Astyanax mexicanus: one gene and its partner. The protein of the gene in region 2 purifies or fractionates together with the protein of the main gene of each other region. This does not show direct contact. Links are inferred from orthologs where the notes say so. Each region holds a gene or a part of one and is shown on either strand. Other genes may lie near its edges.

Evidence for each region. Proteins that work in one complex are often made in the same cells at the same time.
Region 1: the proteins of pop7 (region 2) and rpp38 purify together in Homo sapiens (co-immunoprecipitation; 3 studies listed by BioGRID and IntAct, with this or other methods). This does not show direct contact. The link is inferred for Astyanax mexicanus from reciprocal best matches to the Homo sapiens genes POP7 and RPP38.

The regions. Positions count from the first base shown.
Region 1 is NC_064408.1:111,996,735-112,003,255, reverse strand, and holds rpp38 (ribonuclease P protein subunit p38), read left to right. Parts: upstream 1-4,852; 5' UTR 4,853-5,083; coding exon 5,084-5,965; 3' UTR 5,966-6,007; downstream 6,008-6,521. Other genes in the region: acbd7 (acyl-CoA-binding domain-containing protein 7), read right to left, coding at 518-529. UniProt on the Homo sapiens protein: Component of ribonuclease P, a ribonucleoprotein complex that generates mature tRNA molecules by cleaving their 5'-ends. Also a component of the MRP ribonuclease complex, which cleaves pre-rRNA sequences.
Region 2 is NC_064415.1:15,412,539-15,420,337, reverse strand, and holds pop7 (ribonuclease P protein subunit p20), read right to left. Parts: upstream 3,002-7,799; 5' UTR 2,771-3,001; intron 1,690-2,770; 5' UTR 1,654-1,689; coding exon 1,198-1,653; 3' UTR 397-1,197; downstream 1-396. UniProt on the Homo sapiens protein: Component of ribonuclease P, a ribonucleoprotein complex that generates mature tRNA molecules by cleaving their 5'-ends. Also a component of the MRP ribonuclease complex, which cleaves pre-rRNA sequences.

The DNA.
Region 1 (6,521 bases), on a different chromosome or scaffold from region 2:
ATTTTTAAATTACACAGGACCATTAAGGGGTTAAGAAGTACAATCCCTTGGCCGGAGTCTATCTGACCCATTTTCGGCCTGTATTTGGTCACACTAAACCCAGTCTTAATCAGTGCAGCAGGGTCATTATCCCCCCACTGTACATGAGTTTCTATTGTTCAGCTAAACAACCAACAAACAGGCGTACAAACCAGTCTGAAGGCCCATTGTGTTTGTGTGCAGATAATCAGGCTATGGAGGGAGAGAAGTGCAGCTCGCTCACCCCCTCACTACTGCACTCATATGGAGTGACACTGCACACTGAATGGGGTGATAATGACGTCATGGAGCTGATTAACACTATATGCTGGTAAATATATAGTGAATATTATAGCTGTATGATATTATAGTGCAGAATGGGCCTTAGCTACACACACATCCAGCTGCTAACAGGTACCACACACACACACATGCACACACACACAGTACAATACAGGCACAATAAATAAAACATGGAAAAAATACATAAACCACCAACCTGCAGAGTCATTTTCCCAGGCGAGAGAGAGAGAGCTGGAGTATGAGATAGTGAGAGTGTGTGTGTGTGTGTGTGTGAGAGAGAGAGAGAGAGAGAGAGAGAGTGTGTGTGTGTGTGTATTCCTGCTGCGTCTTCTGCACTCAGCGTAGACCTGCTGATGAATTACAGTTTACGGTATCATCGTGCACAGTCGCAGTGTGGCAGCCTGAACGCTGATTGGCTGAGCAGAGAGCCAATCAGAATGAGCCAATCAGCACACAGCATTACTGATGACAGAGGAGCACATGCACACCGAGCCCAGCCACAACATTAAAACCACTGACAAGCGAAGTGTATGCAATTTCTAGCATCAGAGAATTAAACCCAGCCACACCACCCTCCCTTATAAAATAACTACATACAAAATAGGGAAGAGTTCCCAGGAGGCGTGAGTCTCTCATATCAGAAGAAATAATATCATTTAGTTCAAGGATTCATGGAGACTTTATTGTCATTCACATCACATGTGGTACATGAGGTGAACCGAAATTGTACTCTCAGGGTCCAGATACACAGATAAAGAGCGATTGTTAAAATAAAATCAATATAAAGATGAAATAAAATAAGATATAATAAAATAAAATACTAAAATAAAATAAAATAAAATAGATATCAAGATAAATACACAAAATATAAAGGAGAGTAGGAAAGCAGCAGCAACGTGATGTCCAGAGTACATATATATAAACTATATATTTAGTTTTAATTATTTATTTATATTTTTATTTATGCTTTATTATTTTTATTTCCATTTTTATTGTAATTTGTAAAGCACTTTGAATGACCATTGTGTAAGAAAGGTGCAATATAAATAAACTTGCCTTGCCTTTGTAGCATCATAGATAATTATGAATGAAGAGCAGTAACATATTACAAGTTACATAATAGGTGTGTGTGCCAAATCAGATAGGTACACCTGTCCCTCAGGAGATAACACTGTTCAAGACTGTCCTCTCAGCACTGCAAACTAAAAACTCTGAGACACATATTGGGTCTTTCCAATGGACACACCCCCATCTCCACAGAAACACCCTTTAGAGATGCCCTGTTACATTATTTTTTATTGTTCTACCTTATTCTGCACTAATAGTTTATTTATGGTCCACTGTTTACATCTCTACAAATTTGTACAGATAGATTAATATATAACTGTGTATTTGCACATTCTTTTTCTATTTGCAGCGCGTTTTTCTATTTGCAGCGCGTTTTTCTATTTGCTGCGCCTGTGTTGTAATTTTGATGGATGTGTTTTATGCTTTTGCAGGGCTTTTCAATTTGCACTGCGTTGGGCTTTCTCGGCCACCGTAGCACTCTCCATTATGTGCTCTAATTTAAAGTGGGCAATGAAGTCCCCTTACTCTCTAACCTGACCCTGCTCTTTTCTTTGAAAAAACAATTCAATATCTGTGGCTGATACTGAATATCCACACACACACACACACACACACACACACACACACACACAGGACGTATCAGGAGTGGAACATCACCTGTCTCATCACATCTTCTACAATTCTGCACTATTAATTAGCTACTACACATACAGACAGTACTAGTCTAGCACACTGGTTTTAATAAAAACACAAACTGACCAATGAAATGGCAGCCAGCCTCATTCTCCCCAGCAGCACAGAGAGAAAGTGGATTGTACCATTTGTGTGTTGAGGAGAGATTACTTTATTTTTATTCTAGAAATTCTGTTAATGATATACTTTTTTAGTTTGGAAGATTTTTCAGCTTATCTAATTCTGTTTAAATATATATATTTGTTACATTTTAGGAGTGCTTGTTGAATTTAGGGATGCTTGAGCCCCCCTAAAAAGGGGCTAATAATGCCCCAATGGAAATCTCCCAAACCAAAAACCAGCTGGTTGAGCAGCATAGCTCTTGATATTTCTGTTGATCTGCAGGCCAAGCAAAACCATCTGACTAAAACAGAAAGCCAGTATGAGCAAGTTGGCCAGGCTGGTTTGTGTCTAAGCTCAGAGAACACATGGACTGAAGTACAATTTCAGATATGAACATTAAACAATCAATTAATAATCCAAATTAACAAGCTTGTAACACATATTTATTTTATAGTTTTAATCAAATATATATATAAAAAAAACAGGGATTAAACTGCATACTAGTATTCTGAGCCTGGTTTTCCAACAGATTTGTATATGTATATATATATATATATATATATATATATATATATATATATATATATATATATATATATATATATATATATATACATTTAATGATTTAGACTTGGCATCTCCTTCCAACTGCCAAAAGTACCAATTGGTCTTACTCCTATATAATATATACATCTACTGAGATACTGTCTTTTGGCTTTTCATTAGCTGTAACCCATAATCATCAAAAATAAAAAAATAAACACATCAGTTACTGTCTATACTAGTTGTTAATTACTGTATATACAAGTAAATATTATTTCCTGACTTTACTGTTGTTATCTTTGTTGATCAAAGAAGAATAAGGTCCTCTGAGACCTTCTTTCTCTGCAGGTTTATTCTTTCCACTCTGGGGACGCTTTCTCTTCGCCATTATACTGTTGCCAGTGGTTTGCTCATTTGGGGCTTGAACAGAGATCTCTGTAAAAGCTGCTTCATGACAATGTCTTCAGCTTGTAAATAGGGTTGTAAAAGCACATCTATAAACCAAAATCTAATTTTAACTAATTTGACAGTGATATACCAAAAAAAAAAAAACACATCACATGACATATAAACAGCAAATTCTTGTCATTTATGTATTGGTAAAAACGTGTATATACTTTTTTGTACTGTTACTTTATTTTATCCTGTCTAATCACGTGAAATTTAACAACTCATCTTTAATGTGCAACACATAGACAGTAATCATATAAAATTATCATTATCATATAAAACATTTTCAAAAATATACTGCAATGCTTGAAATATGTTTAATTAATTTGTTATGACTAAACATTTCACAGATGTGGGACTAACAAAGGATTATTTTATGTTTATTTGAAAATGCATGATTTTTTTTTCCTTAATATTCTGCAATACAATACTGTAATATTAGAAATACATGTTGGAATAAAAAATGCCTTCTCTTTGTTTTCTCTTTAAAAAAAATGCTTGTGTATATATTCTTCTATTTTCTGTTGGATGTAGTTTATGGATACCGCTATACTGTTTGTATTACATTCCAACAGATACTGTGGGACTAATAAAGGATTATCTTAAGTAGATGAAAATGAACAAACTTGTATATTTCCTAAATACACTGCAATACTGCAATGTTTGAAATACATTTTGTAGTTCATAGGTTTCCATGCATTTTTTTTAAAGAAAGCTTTTCTATTTTTTTAACTGTTTATGGATACTTCTATCTAGTTTCTATAGCTTTGACACTGTGACTTTATTATTCCCACATCTGGGGAATTGTCAGAGGGAAACATGTATTTTTCCTTAACCCCTTTACTGGCCTTTGAATGTATACAGGCTACAAGTGTAGGTGATACAAAATCCTTTTTCTCTGCAGTAAAATAACTTATTTACATTTTAAAGACTATGAGGGCTTTTAGTGTCTACTCCACTAAATAATTCCAGATTAGTAACAGGAATCAACCCAAATTCTGCAGGTTTGAAAGTAAACATAAAATCTAGACAACTGTAACAAAACGAAAGGTTTGGGGGACATGAACTGTTTGATTTGCATTCAGGAAAATAATGATTTTAAAATGATCCAGAAAATCTCGCTATCTTTAAGAGACTCCTGAAAGAGCACTTACTCTCCTAACACCTCTAACACACTAACTACTTCTAACCCCATTTCCTTCTTCCCCTCCTTCACTTCTCTATCCATTTATTTCCCTTCGACCTCCTTTAAGCCCTATCTAAAAATGGGTTATCTAAATTCCTATTACTTTTGTACTTCATTATTGTAAGTCGCTTTGGACAAAAGCGTCTGCCAAATGAAATGTAATGTATTTCTAATACATTTACAATTGGAATTTGTAGAAACGTTTATTATCAAACATGAAATCTTTTTTATGCAATGCTTGAATAGAAATCCTCAAGATTTAGGTATGTAACATTAGGCAGAAAATTTATAAAAATGCTGGCCTGTTACTGAATACTGAAATGCTTAAAATATATTTAAAATACGATTTAAATTGATAAAATACGTTTAAAATATATTTAATATAACATATTAATAAATAATGTGTCCATTATGTGGTAGTGTAGTGTTATATAGACCCTGAACACTAGGGGGCGGTGTGGCTTTTTAACACTCAACGCTCCGAACCAGCATGGCGGCGCCCTGTAGCAGCACACGTGTTCTATAGATAGCTGATGTTATGTTGAGCTCAGTGCACACATGTGAAAGCTTTCTGATCTGATCTGAGGTGGAACATCTCTGAACACCACTGTTCAGAGCACCGAGGCTGTGGAGGACCTTTATAAAGCAGGAGCTGGTTTATATATAAAGTTATTTAGTTTGTTTTAGTATCTGTGGCCACGCTGGAGTTATGAGAGCAGGATGAGCACTCCGGGAAAAGCAGCAAAGAAGGAGAAAAAGAAGCCCATCCCTGTGAAAACCTCTCTAAACAACCCTTACGATCTCAGATGGGCTCCTCTGGAGAAGGGCCAGAAGGCATTTATTCTGAACTGCCTCACAGAGACGATAGAAGCTCTGGGGCTTAAGAAGATCCAGGTACGAGTGAAGGGGCTCCGCAGCAGCAGGAGGAGGAAATCCAAGCAGCGGGACTCGAAGCCCCCCGAAGCCGAAAAAACTGCTCGGCAGCCAGGCTGGAGCGACGAGGCCTCCCGGAGGCAGCTGGCCATCGGCATCAACGAGGTGACCAAAGGCCTGGAGAAGGATGAGCTCAGCCTGGTGCTGGTGTGCAGCTCCATCAGGCCAGCCCACATGATCAGCCACCTCATCCCCCTCAGCAGAACCAGGGCGGTGCCGGCATGCCAGGTGCCCGGCCTCAGTGAGGGTCTGTCTGGGGCTCTGGGTCTCAGCAGCGTGCTGGCACTGGGCTTCAAACGAGGAGACACCGCCTTCTCCAACACAGTAGGGGAGATAGCCTCCAAGGTCCCTCCCCTCTGTGTGCCCTGGGTGCCCACTGAGAAGGAGCCAGCCAGGCTGGAGGACCAGAGCCTGGGAGGAGACCCCCATCCTGGTCCTACTGATACTGGAGATCTTACTGGAGATCCTTCAGATCCAGTTAAGACTGAAACGCAGACTGAGGAGCCCCCCTCAAATCCACCAAGGGGTCAAAAGAGGAAGCTTGACCTTTCACATGAGCCTGGACAAGACCCAACCCCAACACTTCAGCCTCTCAAAGTCAAGAAAACCATCCCAAACCCATCAAAAATCCGGAAACCCAAGAAAAAGAAGGCATCAGCTCAGAAGTGACAGTCTGAAAGAAACAATTGCACAATTGCTTTTTTTTTTATTCATTGGACAAATCATAAATCATTGTAAAGACATTTAGGATGAGTTGATGTGAAAAGGTGAACATGTAAAGATTCCAAGAAATGCAGCCAAGAAGGAGAAAAAGAAGCCCACCTTTGAGAAAACCTCTCTACACAACGGTTACGACTTCAGATGGGCAGATGAAATGGTGAAAATGTAAAGTCTCAGCAAACAAATGTTACATGTAGAATTAGAATTGTACCCATTATTATTTGTATTTGAATTATATTTGCACTGGCATTACAAAAAAGCAAGCATTGTCTAGGACTTAATCTCATCTCCATGCCTGTGCCTTTACAAACATATAATAGTTTTCTTTAGATATTGCTTTGTCTATAAACAATGCTGTATGTCTCTTAAAATGCAATTAGGGCTAAAACCTTGTTATAAAACCGGTTCAGCAATGTTTTGTCACAATTTCCTTTGTAAAAAATATCAAGCTCTTCAGATGTCTTGTGTTCACCACAACACTGTGAACAGTTCTGTCTCAATATTT
Region 2 (7,799 bases):
TTTCTATTCGTATGATTGTATTGTGCCCAAACCTGTTACTGGCCACACGTGAATGTAAACGAGCATTATTTTAAAAAGGTGCAAATAATTGTGTCTGGCCCTATTTTGTAATTCTTTGTGAAATAATACATTTTGGCTTTTTCTGTTTTTAATACACACAAAGAAGATTTTTTTGGAAAAAATATCTTTTTTCTGGAAACACGTTGGGGGGCCAAAACGGCCATGACTGTGTAAATCAATCCAGTCCAGCTTCTAGTGCTCTTAAAGACTATGCACACCATAAGTCGAGGGGTAAAGACACTGGACAGATGCAAGCATCTGTATTCTTGCAAAAATAATAGACGCTATACTGCCCTCAAGTGGACAGCACAAGCTAAAAAAATATCACAAACGATATGCAAGCATGTGTTAGTGTTTTATTTACACACATATACATCAGAAAATAAATCTGAATATGCTTCTCAAACAGTGAAAATAAGACTTAAAAATATAGTATGTTCACAAACGAACACAAACTGTTTCAGACAATACAACAACATGCATAGGCACCTTAAATAATATTTTGTACTTGTGGACAGCACATTAATACAAAATGTTCTATTTTCTTCAAGTTTTATCAAAATATCAAACACCTACACATATGAATGACCTCATGAGCAGTTTCACAGACATACATCAAAGCACTGATCTAATGTTCTCCTCCAGTGCCATAAGAAGACAAGTGGGTAGAATATAATATTGGGTCAGCTACTTCCATACCAGGCTCTCTCATATCAGGGCTAATCGATTTACTGATTCCAATTTAGATGTGTGAACAACTCCTAGGTTCTTTCACTTGGCAAAATAACCCAAAAAATATATAGGGACACAAACTGATTTGCATTTTAGAAATATTAATCTTTCGCACCCTTAAACATATCTCAAAACTTTTTTGGCCAAATAAAGTGCTGACAGAATTTGTTTTTACTGATCTTCACATTATGTAAAGGCTCTCAAAAAATATTTTTAATACTGTCCTTAAACTGCACATCCAAGCCATGTATTATTTAAGAATTTAATCCCAAATGATTCAATTGAAAAGTCTTAACATTCAGTAGCTATTAATGAAATTAAAGGTCAGATTATCCCTCTATGGTGATGGATTTCCTTCTTTCCCTTTTTAATAATATTTGATTTTGTGTAGCTGACTGTAACTTTCTAAGCATTGGGGTAAAACACTTTAATGTGGATAGCCGAGTTGTTCCTTGTTCGTGTTAGTGGCTCTCCAGCTTCATCTGGGTCTTCTGGCTCCAGATCGTCTACTAGCTCTACCGTGGAGGTGTTCGCAGCCAGCTGCAGTGCCCCCTGGCTGAAAGCCTGCAGCTGCAGTGCGATGTTAATGGCCCGGTTAATGGCGAGTCCCAGACCGTGGATGCAGATTTCCTTGTGACCAGCACCGCCATCCAGCAGTTTCTGACACCTGGCCAGCTGGGCCTTGAAGTCGGTCTTCATGTTAATGTATACATCGTTGCGTCTCTTGGGCAGCTTTCTGGGCAGCCGTTTGCGGAGGGTGTATTCCACTGGGTCCATCTCAACAGTGTTGCCCTCAGGTGTTGAAAAACCTAGTGGGTTCTGAGACACCGAACCTGGGACTTGACTTCGTGGATCTGCCATCTCGGGGCTTCTGAAGAGGATCAGCAGAGATTAAATCTGACAATGGAAACATAGAGCAATTTAACGATTAACAATGTCTTTTTAAAAAGTATTGTTTACTCCTAATCCACACATGTACTGACAATTAAACATTTAATATCAAAGAAGATGTATATTAAATTTACCATTAGATAAACAATAAATATTTAGATGGAGTGGGCCTGGGTGGGGTGGGATATTCTGGGAGCTTTTGCAATTATGTTCTTGTTGATATGAAAACAAAAAAATCCCTAATTGAAGTGAACAATACAACATGTAATGATACTAACAATGCTCTCAATATATCCAGTGTTGGAGTAAAATAATATGATGCCAGGATTCATTGGGCAGGAATTGTGAAAGGGTGGTTCAGGGAGCATGAGATCATCATATTCACACATGGATTGTTCACCACAGTGTCCAGACCTTAACTCCATTGAGAATCTTTGGGATGTGCTGAAGAAGGCTTTGGGTACTGGATTAAAATAAATCTTGTGACATTACAGAAGCTTATCGAAACAATGCCACAGTGAACACAGGGACAATTCTACTAGAGAAGGTTGGGATAAAAATAAGTGATGGATGGCAAAACATCCTGTGACATACAACATGATCAATCAGCCTTTCCTTATATATATATATATATATATACATAGAGAGAGAGAGAGAGAGAGAGAGAGAGAGAGAGAGAGAGAGATAGACAGATAGACAGACAGCAAAAATCTATAAAAAAAAACATCCTCTGTCACAGAAACATGATCAATCAGCCTTTCCACCACAACCTAATCTAACCAGAATCACCATCTTAAGCAGCAGTCTTTGCAGCAGTGTTAGCTAGCTGTTAGTTGTGAGGCTATCTCGTGTATGATATTAAATAGGGTGTATTTCAGTGTTTGCTGAAGGACTGAAGGACTAGCTAGTCTGTCACTCACTGACCACCCACCCGTACACTGGAAAGCATGGCGAGGAGTCTAAACACGTGGAATATAGACTACACTCCAGTTCTCGCTCTTTACATTGAATCAACCTGCAACATCGTACACCTAATTGCAGATTCTGATTCAAATAAACATTCAAAAACAATGTAATAAACAGGTACCTGCTCTGCTCTGGGGGCTCGTCACACCGCCTCACTGTAGAAGATGCCGGATGTGTTACCAGCTTTTTACCGGAAGTGATGTCTGTCTCTCGTGTGTTTAGGGACGTCTGTATTTAAAATAGTAAAATAGTGACTGCAAAACAACCAGTGAGTCACAGACATACAGCTGTAAATGTAAAATGTTACCCGGTGGAGCAAATCGCCATTCAAACAGCCGTCTCTGTTTGAGTACCTGCGCCTACGACGCGCTCTGTACAGATGTATAAGCAGTGTGATGGGGATTCAGCGGCAATGCGCCTAATTACCGCGTGGCGCACATGTCTTATAGATCAGCGGTCGCTCGCTCCCCTAGAGCAGAGCACCTGATTATATTCTAATACATGTAATATATGTAATACAGTGCTCTCACATACCCATACTGACACTACTGCTTATACTTGCACTGTCATACTCACTTTAATTATCCCTACAACTGTGCAATTGAAAGAATGTGCATTATGCACTTGTTCACTATACCAGCTAAAATCTGGTCAATTCTGACCGCACTCTTATCAACACAATACTGGAACATAGTACTTGAATCAAAACAGTAGTGGAAGTCTTTTTCAGGAACTGATATGCACTCACACACCCCAAACCTGCACTACTGCCTATACTTGCACTGATCAATCATAGCCACTTAATTCCCCCTACGACTGTGACCCCCCACCCCTTTCAAACCAACTGGTACACTGTCATTTTATATTGCACTATTGTGTGTCTCTTGTCTAACGTGTGTCTATACAACTCTGGAAAAATTAAGAGACCACTTCAGTTTCTAAATCAATTTATCTGATTTTGCTATTTATAGGTAGATGTTTGAGTAAAATTAACATTTTTGTTTTATTCTGTAAACTACAGACAACATTTCTTCCAAATTCCAAAAAAAAAAAAATAAATCATACTGCAGAAAATGAGAAGAAGATGCAGAGCTTTCAGATCTCAAATAATGCAAAGAAAACAAGTTCATATTCATAAGGTTTTAAGAATTCAGAAATCTTTGGTGGAGTAACCCTGTTTTTTTAATCACAGTTTTAATGCACATTGGCATGTTCCCCTCCAGACTGCCTCTGAATAACTTTATGCCACTCCTGGTGCAAAATTCAAGCTGTTCAGCTTGGTTTGATGGCTTGTGATCGTCCATTTCCTCTTGATTATATTCCAGAGTTTTTCAATTTGGTAAAGGCAAAAAAAACCCATAATTTTTAAGTTGTATATGTGACCTTGCTGTATTGTACAATTAGTGTCATTCTTTTATTATTTATAATATTATATTTCTGTACTTTTGTCTACTCTTACTTAAACTTGAACTCTTGTCTCACGTATGTCTATATATCTGGCCTTGTTGTATTGTACTAGTATTAGTATTAGTGTCTCATTCTTTTATATTTATAATTTTATTCTGCTGTACCTGTTGTAACTTTGGGAAGGATGGTAACGTAATTTTAATCCTCTGTATGTCCTGTCCATATGCAGTAGGGGTGGGAATCGTTTACTATCTCACGATTCGATTCGATTCCGATTTTGGGGGCCACGATTCGATTCAAAATCGATTTTTGATTCAAAACGATTTGAATTATAAAAATTTCTGCTTCTGGCTTATGAATCTTATTGAAAAAAAACCCTCCATAATATACACTGGTCCTGGAGCAGGTAATGTGTTACAAAAACAATAAAATGTGCAGGAATGTGGGTCCTCAGTGACAGAGGAATCACTGGGATATCACAATGACGTTAATGAACAATAAATAAATAATAAATAACACTGCTTTATTACCAGGCTACTAGCGGTGGTGTGTAGGTGACGCTGCTGGGCTGATGTGATGATAGCAGTGGAGCGCTAAAGTTCAGGAGCAGCTGCTGATTAACTAGTTAATTTAAGGTCGTTGTATTTCTTCAGAAAGGGGGCAGGAGGTGGAGAAATTAATTCATATGGTCCATTCCTTAATTCCTCTGTGATGAGGAGCTGAAATTAGCTCTGATTAGCTTATTGTATTTTTCCGTTCCGCCTTAAATGCTGCAGCCCGCTGCCACCTGTAGCGTTATTTAAGGTGGAACTGGAAAGTTAGCTAGTTAGCTAGCTAACAGTTACTGAAACTAACTACTAGCGATCTTTTTTATGCTTGTTATGAAGCATTCTGCCATAAAACATTGAAACTACACGTTAATCTAATGTAATATAGTGCTTGTTCTGCCATCTTACCGGTGATTCTCAAACACCTACGCTCTGTGTGTGTCTGGAAGATCTCCGTTTGAAAGGACAAGCGCTATCCCCAGGGTTGCCAGGTCCAACAAAAATACCCAGCCCAAAATCAGTCTAAAACCCGCCCCTCAGAATCGATTTTGGGACATTTTAAATCGATTCTGAATCGTAGTAAATGAGAATCAAGATTCTTATGTGAATCGATTTTTTGGCACACCTCTAATATGCAGTATTGACAATAAAAATTAACTTTCCTTGATAATGAATATGTGACCACGTGTAGTTGCCTGCACACGCCGCCAGGGGCGCTGCAACCCCCCTCAGACAGGTTTCATATGTTACTCCAGTCAGTCGCCACGGAGTCACGTGGTCTCCGCCGAGCAGAACGGCCATCTTCCTAAAACACAAACAACAAGAGTAGCGAGCAGACGAGCTAGCAGCAGCGCAGCGTCGGAGAGAGAGAGAGCAGGACACATTTTATGTACATATTACACGCGGTTTGATGCGGATTATAACGCGATTATTGAGGACAAGCACGTCGGCAGCCAGAGACCACACGGTCACATGCGCAGGAGCCCAGACGACTGGAAATAATACGCATCTCTAGCTCCAGAAATTAAGGTGAGAGAGAGCCCCTCCTCTCCTTGAATGTTTTTGGGTTGGCTGGTATGAGAGAGCTAGGTTAGCTAGCTAAGCTAAATTAGCTAGGTTAGCTAGCTAGATCTGTTACAGATTTGGTGGAGCACTCTGGGGTCTTCCTGTCATCCGTGCAGTGGGCTAACATTGGCATGAAGAAGGCGGTAAGCTAAATAGCAAAGCCCTGTCTAAGGCTAAGGGGGTGTGGATAATGGAGACGGCGTTGGTGCTTTTCAAGCTGGCTAGGTAAAGGGGGTGGGGGTTGTGTTTGTAGCTGACTGAGCTTTGGCCATGGTTGAAGGCCACGGTGAGCAGAGGAGTTCAGTAGGACGGGTGGTCTGTGAAACAACAAGGGGAAAGGTGGGGAAATGAGGAGTGTGTACCACTGTGGAGGGTGTGTACACTAACTGTGTAGTTAGATTTAATTTAAGGTTTGAATGTGTTGTCCAATAACAAACCTAACTAGCTAGCTAACTAGTTAGCTTAGCTTGGTTTGCTAACTACCTAACCTAAATACTGTATCCAAGCAGCGCTACAGACAAGCATAGCTTATTGCCCCAGAGTAACCATCCTTGGTTAGCTAGCTAACTTGTTTTAAAATGTACATTTTTGATGTTGAAAAGTTACATTTGTGGAGAATACATGGTCTTGCTGCTCTAAATACAGGAACTCCCATACACATGCGAATACACCGCCCCCTTCTCTCAGTCTCTCTCTCTCTCGTTTGCATCTGCTTGCTCAGTTTGTTTTTCGTTCCACCTTAAATTCTTCAGCAGCCAACCTACCTAGCTGTTAGTGTATTACAAAATATAACTAACAACTGCACAATTTAAGGTGGAACGAGTAGTTATAAGACCAATCTATTTAAAACTAAACGTCATCTTCTTCTCCGTATACAGATGTTTGTGTGGAAGCTGTTAGTTTCTTTATATTAATTATTAACCTAAATATGACGAGCCTAAGTAGCTAATTAGGTAACTGAGTTAACTTGTTTTGAATGTATATATTTTATGGTCTGTCCACTCTCTGAATGATTTACTTTTTTTGTTTTAAAAAAAGAAATGTGGTCTAAATACAGAAATACGCTCACATGCGAATACACCTCTCTCTCTCTCTCTCTCTCTCTCTCTCTCTCTCTCTCTCTCTCTCTCGTGTGCTTCTTTTGCTCAGTTCCTTATTCCAACTTTCTTTTCCACCTTAAATTCTGCAGCAGCTAGATACGTTACAGTCTGTCCAGGCTTTGAACTGCCGATCCATTTAAGGTGGAAATACTAATTAATCAGTCAAATCCAATTTACTTTAATCCAATCTACTTTATCTTACTCTCCGTATACAAAAGTTTGTATTGGAGCTGTTTTACCTAATCTTAGCCAAAGCTCTGTCGATATGCACAGCCATTTCTTTTTTTCTTATATGAATGTGTAACCTTAATATAACGAGAAAGGCAGCTGTCCTAGCTGAGTAACTATGTAGTTAACTTACTTGTTTTAAATGTATTAAAAGTTTTATGTTGAAAAAAAAAATGTGGTCTCTTTCTATCACCTTCTCTAACTCTCTTTCGTGTGCTTCTACTTCCTATTTTTTTTTTCCAACTTTCCGTTCCACCTTAAATTCTGCAGCAGCTGGCAACGTTACAGTGTCTGTCCATGTATGTAGCTAATTGCCGCACCATTTAAGGTGGAAAGACTAATTTATAAATCAAATCCAATTTAAACTCTATTCTTTTCTTCCTGTCCGTATACAGAGGTTTGTATTGGGATTGTTAGCCTGTCTTAGCCGAAGCTCTGTCAGTATGCACATCCATTTCTTTTTTCAGAATTAATCCTTATATTAATTCTTAAATATGAAGGGAAACACTGTCTCCCAACTGCATTGTACCATTGTAGTGGATTACGCGAAGCCAAATGTAGCAGCGGCATGGATAGATAAGCTGCCCCTGATAGGCCGCCATCGCACATTCACATCAACACGCTTTCACTGAATAAACGCTGCTGTTGGCCTCCTGCCTGCTGCACAGCCACATTTCACACTCCGGATGCTTAGTGCCAGCCTTTAAAGGTACCTGAGGGCGACTGGCCTTTAATTGAATGGCTGCAAACCTGGAATCCCCCCTACAAAAAGGCCTAAATAGTAAAAGTTAAAGAACATAAT